Schizosaccharomyces pombe: one gene and its partner. Changing the gene in region 1 together with any one later gene gives a genetic interaction. Each region holds a gene or a part of one and is shown in the gene's direction. Other genes may lie near its edges.

What was found. A genetic interaction does not mean that the proteins touch.
Region 2: mutations in bhd1 (region 1) and rhb1 are lethal when combined (synthetic lethality), as found in Schizosaccharomyces pombe (one study listed by BioGRID).

What each region holds. Positions count from the first base shown.
Region 1 is NC_003423.3:2,331,678-2,336,822, reverse strand, and holds bhd1 (folliculin bhd1), read left to right. Parts: upstream 1-1,881; 5' UTR 1,882-2,545; coding exon 2,546-3,649; 3' UTR 3,650-3,830; coding exon of another isoform or gene 3,831-4,553; 3' UTR 4,554-4,595; downstream 4,596-5,145. Other genes in the region: SPOM_SPBC24C6.09C (phosphoketolase family protein), read left to right, coding at 1-1,561; SIN component Cdc14, read right to left, coding at 3,831-4,553.
Region 2 is NC_003423.3:473,105-476,423, reverse strand, and holds rhb1 (Rheb GTPase Rhb1), read left to right. Parts: upstream 1-1,926; coding exon 1,927-1,988; exon of another isoform or gene 1,989-2,047; coding exon 2,048-2,306; intron 2,307-2,360; coding exon 2,361-2,597; 3' UTR 2,598-2,754; downstream 2,755-3,319. Other genes in the region: wpl1 (WAPL family protein), read left to right, coding at 1-1,404, 1,445-1,497, 1,543-1,797; SPOM_SPBC428.15 (Obg-like ATPase), read right to left, coding at 2,985-3,319. UniProt on the Schizosaccharomyces pombe protein: Binds GTP and exhibits intrinsic GTPase activity. Regulates entry into stationary phase when extracellular nitrogen levels are adequate for growth.

The sequences.
Region 1 (5,145 bases):
ACATCGCGCTCGTGTTAACAGAGAAGAAATCAAACCCAGATGGCCCATGATTATCCTTCGTACCCCTAAGGGTAAAGGATGTCCCAAGTATTTGAATGGCAAATTTTTAGAAGGTACCTTCCGTGCTCACCAAGTTCCTTTGAAATTGGCTCGCACCGATACCAACCAGCGCAATCTTCTAAAGGATTGGCTGAACAGCTACAACTGCCAAGACTTCTTAGACGAACATGGACTTCCTACTAAGGGCATCACCGAGCATCTTCCGCCTCGTGAGAAGCGCATGGGTCAGCGTCATGAGACATACAATTCTTATCTACCTTTGAAGGTACCTGATTGGAAAAAATACGGTGTCAAGAAGGGAGAAACCACTAGTGCCACTTCGGTCGTTGGTCAATATCTTGATGAACTCCTCGTAACCAACGATTCAACCCTTAGAATTTTCTCACCCGATGAGTTGGAAAGTAATAAATTAGATGGCGCTTTGAAGCACTCATATCGTACCATGCAAACTGATCCAGAGCTCATGGCAAAGCGTGGTCGCGTTACCGAAGTCCTTTCAGAGCACCTTTGCCAAGGTTTCATGCAGGGTTATACTTTAACTGGACGTACCGCGATTTTCCCCTCATATGAAGCCTTTATGACTATTGTTGTTAGTATGCTTGTTCAGTACTCCAAATTTTTGAAGATGGGCTTGGAGACCGGATGGCATGGAAAATTTGGTAGCTTGAACTATGTTACTTCCAGTACTTGGGCAAGACAAGAGCATAACGGTTTCTCCCATCAATCACCCAGGTTTATCACCACTATGCTCTCTCTGAAACCTGGTGTTAGCCGCGTATACTTCCCACCGGATGCCAATTGCTTCTTAGCAACCGTCGCCCGATGCATGAAGTCTGAGAATACTATCAACCTTATGGTTTCTAGTAAAAATCCACAACCAGCCTACCTATCTGTTGAAGAGGCCGAACATCATTGCAAGGCCGGTGCTAGTGTTTGGAAGTTTGCTAGTACAGATAATGGCGAAAATCCTGATGTTGTTATTGCCGGCGTCGGAAATGAGATTATGTTTGAAGTAGTTAAAGCCGCAGAGATGCTTCAAAATGACATTCCTGAGCTCCGAGTGCGTGTCATTAACGTCACTGACTTGATGGTACTTTCGAGCTTACATCCCCATGGTATGAATCCTGCGGAATTTGATTCTTTGTTTACCAAAGATCGCCATGTTCATTTCAACTATCACGGTTATGTGATGGACTTGAAGGCTCTCTTGTTTGATCGCATACAAGGTACACGGGTCACTATGGAGGGCTATCGAGAGGAAGGTACTACTACCACTCCTTTTAATATGATGATGTGTAACAATACCTCTCGTTATCATGTTGCAAGAATGGCTTTGCAACATGCTTTACACAATCCTACCGTGGCCGTTAATTGTAACATGTTGTGTGCCAAATATGCTTGGAAGCTCGAAGAGATTGAAAATTATATTATGGAAAACAAGGATGATCCTCCTGAAATTTATGCTGCTCCTGTCTTTAAAAATAAGACTTCCACATTATAGATAGAAATGGTGCATTCTTTTTGTTTATATAATGATAATTCTACAGAATTTAAATAAAATTACATCTGTTTTTGTGTTAATTAAAACGTTAGCATATCTTGTAGTGTTGGGGTGTACCCAAACATTGGTTGGTGGTATCACTTAGGTAGCTAGCTGACTTGGATTTGCCCGGTCGCGCGCATATTGCAATTGTGTTTTACACGATTTAATATACCAATTCTTATATACATTACTATCAATAGTTTGTGGCTGTATTTAGTAATCGAAACAGTAGAGGCACTAATTGATACCTTACGCTTTTTTGTAGCTCGTCAGTTTTTAACCTCTTCCTCCCCCTCTCAACGCACTCGCATTTTTACTTGTTTTCTATGAAGGTCGTTTTCATTTTTGAAGTTTCTTAATTACTAGCTTTTCGTAAATTCCCTCATTTGCGACTCTTCAGCATTCCCCTACAATATCGGAAATGTGGAACTTGGTATAAACTTCTGAACATTCTATTCCTTGAAGTGAGAAAATCAACCGCTTTTTCCAAACAGAAAAACTTTTTTTTTAATTCTTTTAATGTAAACTGGACAGATTCTAGTGTGTTTATTATATTTTGGTACTGTGTGAGATGAAGACGCACACATATATCCTCTAATTTATCAGGAATTTTCATATCAATTTCAGTATCTGGAGCGTTTCAAGCTCTTTAATCCATTTTTTTTCTAATCCTCAATCTTTTCGAAATACCTCAGTATAACTGAATGTTTGCTTGGTAAATCGGTAAAGTACAAAAGGTTGTTTTCGAACGAATGCACATCTTACATTTTATCGACTTTAAAACGTATCACCTTATTAATCATTAGATTTGAAGGCATTATTTAGAAGCTATTATACACCATCAAAACTTTTCAAGTTCATTGTCGCTTTCTAAACATTTGCTTTCAGATCGCCTTTGTCAACTAAACACTTTTATCTCACCAAATTTCCATAATAGTCATAATGGATGTTGTTTTTGCTCTTGGACATTTCTGTGAGGCCGAGGGGCCTTCCATTATTTTTTGCACTCAAAAATTGCATCGCTCTACCGTTTCAAAATTTTTTGAGCATCCTACATCTAAGCGCTCTATTGGCGTAACGGAGAATGGTAATGATTCACCAGAAGCCTTCAAAAATGAACTCGATAATCGAAACAATGCCGATTCTCAATCTTTACAAAGTTCTACCGAATCACTTTTCAAAGCTGATTCTGAAGATTATTTATGTAAAAAGGTATCGAAAGGACCAGAATCCCCCCGAGTAAACTCATTTCATAACTCATACTCTCGAAATCAAAGCCCTATTTCGAGAAAATCATCTTGTGTTACATGTAGTACTGTTTTACCCCTTGAATTCTCTGTACCTGATGTTCAACCACGACTTTATACAAACTCAAGTACAAACCCCGATGTTTTATACATGTCTAGTCAACATCCACATACTCAGCAACGATATTCTACCCTTAAGCGATTAATGGTTCGCTGCTTGAGCTGTGAATATTCAACACTATCTGAAGCTTCCGATTCTATGTCAAATCCTTTGTTCTTTGGAGACCAAGATAACGGTTACGTTATTAGTCAGTCTTTTTCTTTAAGAGATCCCTCTGCCCGGGGAGGACTTCGAAGATATGCGATTATTGCTACTTGTCCAAATCAGTTAGATTTGATTTTGCGATATAGTTTTATTTCTGAAAAGTTTCTTCATATAGTCCAGTTTCTAAGGATTTCTTCTTTCAATACAAAGAATGACTACTCCTCCTCCCGTTCAAAAACAACAGCCTCCTCTAGCAATGGAACGTTTGCATCCCCCAGTTTTAACATTTCTTCGTTATCGGGTTCTTCAAATATAGGAACTGCTCCTTCGTATGAGATATCCTCTAGTATCGGTGCAAATGTGTCATCTTTGGCCCACACACAAAGACTTCCTTCTTTCAGTTTTTTGCGTCGTCGAGACGATATTGGGGAGGGACGCAGTTTAGTTGATATCACATGTTGGGACGGAATCTTTGTCGGTCTTCACAGTTCGTTTAGCTGGATTCTGGAGGTTTGGGATCTCTTAGTAGTATGAAAGTAAAACTGGTTGACTTTTTACAAATGCTATAGGATGCTGGAATACTTTCAATAGTAAGATGATCGATTAATAATTTAACATTAACATTAGAAATTCTTTAGTAAATGAATACTAAATTTTCAAAAATAAGTTAACAATGAGACTTTAAACATTTTTTTGCACCAGGCATTGCATCTAACTAGTCGAATGTTTCGTCTAACTTGCCAAATGGTTGAAACTTATCTAAATCATCTCGAAGCCCTTGTACGTTAGAAAGATATTTGGATAGGTAAGCTTGTTTCTCAGTCCGCGTTTTCCTGTAGGCAATGACATCTATAGAATATGGTTCAGGGGATAAATAGAAATAGAAAAATTCGAGAATTTGAAATCGGGTGTCCTGACTTGTTTGTTTGTGCTTAAAAACTACGCATATCTGCTGCAAGCCATTAATCTGCTCAAAAAGCCTAATAGCCAGTGGACGATCTGCCATGATACATACAAGCGTTTTCATTGCAGCCACTTGCAACATAGATGGCTGAGATGGCTGTAATAAATGAATAAATAACCTTAAGGTAGCTTTATCTTCAAATAACGTCTGTGATTTTGGATGGATTAAAACCAATCCTTCAATCACATGCAGTAAGTCATCAATTAGCTTTTGAATGAATTGAAAGTTTTTTTCGTATGCCTCTTCATTCTGCTGATATTCAAGGAGACTGTCCAAAGCGTAAATGCAAGGGGTAGTAGAATTATACAATGGTGAATCCTGTAATTTTAGGAAAATTTCTCTTGGAATTTTATCATCATGACTAGGTTTCGCAACATGATATACAATAGATTCGACTTGACGCAAACCAATTCGAATTAGCTTTGGATTCCTCATACACAAATGCTGTTTAGCATTGTTTAATAGATCTTCCATACCGGATCATTATTTACTCATGCCAAGCGGGCAATAAAAATCCTTATTATAAATAAAAGTAAATTGAATCTTCGTTTAGTTAAAGATAAAAAAGAGACTCTATATTCGTTCTTAGTAATGATATAAATAGTAGGGTGGAGTGTTGAAGCAGCTACATTAAATTGCTATTTTCTAAAACTTGAGGTTTTGGGAGAGAAAACACCAGCTTGCTAAGATAGGATACAATTGAATATTAACAGGCGAATTGGAGCCATATTTGAAAAAGGGGCCTAAAATAACAAAACAAGCAACATCGAGTCCTTATAGATTTATATTTAGTTTACGATCAAATCCGCCTAATTTAATTATATTAATATCAATGGGTTTAGTTTGTCTCAAACGGTTGACATGAAAAAATTTAGATATTAAATTAAACAATAGTTATGTATTAATCGTAAAATTATCAAATAACAAAAACTGCAGTTAATTTTGAGCTATTTAAAACAATATAAGATTACACGAAGCTTCGAAGAAGCTATGAAATAAAACAATTAGAATGCACTAATTAACAGTTTCGATGGAGAAATAACACATGAAGTGCATACAAAATGCA
Region 2 (3,319 bases), 1.9 Mb from region 1:
TAAACAAGCAAAAGCGCTCGCCAGGACAGACCGTGTCTAAACGACTGCATAAAAAGCAAAGGGTCGTTAGTAATCCTGATTTGAGTTTACCGTCTTCACCGGTAAAACAAATTTTAAGAAATGGACTTCAGAATTCAAAGTACGGTTCTCATAAGACAGGACTGGAAAGGTCCGCGAGCTGTAGTAGTATTGATGCTTCCGCAAACCATTCTTCCACTACCTATCGGGAACAAAGATCGTATTTGATGGAGGAAGGATTAGATACTCAGCCAATTGTACCCCGTGAAGTATCCTCTGGTCGAGAATTGGATTCAACCAACCATACTATTGGTACAGAACGTGCTTTTTTGATAGAGGAAGACGTATCAGAAGATGATGAAATTCAAATGAAAAGTATACATGAACTTCGCTTTGCTGGAGAGCAGCAAAGGATCGTTGATGAAATTGAATACTTAGTGGACGGAGTGACTTTCTCAGGTAACTCTTCTGCTTCTCGCTATTTGAGTTTAATAGGAATCGCTGAAAAAATGTTTGACAATTCATTTCGTTTATGCTTAAAGTCGATACGGGATGTCTTCTTGCGAATATTTGAAGAAATTGATCCTAAAGATACTTTACACACTTTTTTGCAGATTTATATATTTGCAACTATGGCTAATGAAATGGATTGCATGAGTTCCTTGCTTGATGCTTACTCAAACAATGTTAAACTTCTTTTGCAAACGGCTATTACTTTAGAACCGCAGGTACCGGTTTCAATTTTGGCAAAAAGCTTACCAAAAAGTGTAAAGGGAGCCGTTCAAGAATTCGTTATAAAGGCAGAGCTTACTTTTAGTTTTAGCAATGAGTCTCTTGCTTCTTCTGATTCTATCAGTCTTGCAGCTATCGCTCTTATGAAGACGTCCTCGGGAGTTTTTGCGGAAAGCGAGTTGTTTACCGAATTAATCAATCTTTTAATAGAAAAATCCTACCCCATCTTGAAGGAAAACGATGGAAGCAATAACTTCTTACTTCATGCACTTTGTAGTTCTTTAGAAAAATTTACGGATTTCCAGGGATCAGAAAAGATTCAGAAGGTTTCACAGATCTTATCCTCAAAGTTACAAATTTTAATTGATGAACACAATGAAACAAATTCACCAAAAATTGACGATACAGTTGTCCATGCATGCAGTGAAAAATTGTTGCGTACTTTGATTCAAACAGTTAATTCTAACAGTGATCATGCGTTAGCGGTTTCTAAATCAGAAGTCCCATTGTTTGCTTATAAAATTTTACAAAAGTTTTCTAATTTTTCGTCCGATGATGAAACTACACGAGAACTAATTATCTTAATCCTTGGTCTTTTACTAGGGCTAGTTGAGGAATCTCATGAGTTTATTCAAACTATCACTCATGTTGAAGGTAAGTTCCTTTTATTAATATTTTTACTAATTCTATTTAGTTTCTTTCGGAGCTTCAGCACTCGATGTCCTCATTTCGTTTTATCAAAAGAACGTAAGTTGTACTACTTCTGTTGTAAGACATTTCTAACAAATGTAGGAAAGTATCGTAGAAATTAGTGGATATGTCGTAATGATTTTAAGCCATTGCTTTTTAAATGATCCCAAAGCGTTTGCCCAACTCAAGCCTTTGATATCTCAGTTTTACGAATCTCTACATAAATTTAAAAATTTTCATTTGAAATTGAAAGAGGAATTAATGATGATGGGTTCTAATGGACTAGCCATTGTTTCTATAATTGATGAACTACATAAATCGTTGCAAGACTACTTGCGCAGTGACTTGGTAAAATGACCTTTGCGGCGCGCTGGGAACGTGACATCCACAACATCGTTGCTTTCACTCACTTTTTTTTACGATCACTCTATAGTTAATAATTTGCCTTTTTAAATATTATAATCTTGAAATTTTCTAATTTAAACAATGGCTCCTATTAAATCTCGTAGAATTGCTGTTCTTGGCAGTCGTTCTGTTGGAAAGTCCAGGTAAGCGTTTGATTGAAGTTTATGCGCAAATAGGTTTACTAACCATTTTTTTTAAATAGTTTAACGGTGCAATATGTTGAAAACCATTTCGTTGAATCGTATTATCCAACTATTGAAAATACATTCAGCAAGAACATCAAGTATAAGGGTCAAGAATTTGCTACTGAAATTATCGATACGGCTGGTCAAGATGAATACAGTATCTTAAATTCTAAGCATTCCATTGGAATCCATGGCTATGTACTCGTTTACAGCATTACTAGCAAATCTTCTTTTGAGATGGTTAAAATAGTTCGTGACAAGATATTGAATCACACTGTATGTCAAATTATTAGAATTTTTAAATTTTTTACTAACCTACTTGCTATTAAGGGTACTGAGTGGGTCCCCATTGTGGTTGTTGGCAATAAGAGCGACTTGCATATGCAGCGTGCTGTTACCGCTGAAGAGGGAAAAGCATTGGCCAATGAATGGAAATGTGCATGGACAGAAGCTTCAGCTCGCCATAACGAAAATGTTGCTCGAGCATTCGAGCTAATTATCAGCGAAATTGAAAAACAAGCAAATCCTTCCCCTCCTGGTGATGGAAAGGGTTGTGTTATCGCCTAAGCTTCTGCTTGAATTTATCATATTATGGATTAATTTATTTTAACTGAATTAACGATTTTATCTTTGCTAATGCAAGATATGGGCTTACATTACATGAGGTGATACTTTGCACACAAACGTGTTTTTTTACACATGGGTTTACAAGATTTCGACTCTTTATTTCAAATATACAAGTACCTAAACTATGGTTTTAAAATTTAGTCAATGTAATACATAGTGGAGAAAGTACAGCCAGACATTGTAGACGTAATTTGTTGAGTTAGCTCTTCGGAAGTTTTAAACTAACCAAATTAATTTTTAGACATAGTATTGTTTATTAACATCTATACAAAACTATTTTGAATATTTCCCAAAATCGACCTTTTACCACTTTTCTTCATGAATCACTTAAGCTTCAGCTTTCCGCAATCGAAAGTGAAGGATATCCGTTTTACCTGGGACAATAACATCAGATTCGCCGACGTTTCCATTTACACCCACAATAGACATTGCTTCTCCACCCAATACCATTTGAGATACCTGTCCAGCAGTCGTTCCTTGCTTCACTAAGATGCAATCTCTGAAAACACCTTCATTAGGAGAGTTTGCAAAATTGTGAACGTTTTTAACGGGAAAAACTGGAATCAAATTTAAAAGTTCCATTGCCTTTGCTAAAACATTACAAACTCCAGTTGAACCGTGTCGAAATAATACCATGTCTTGGAGGTCTGCGATACGGGTTT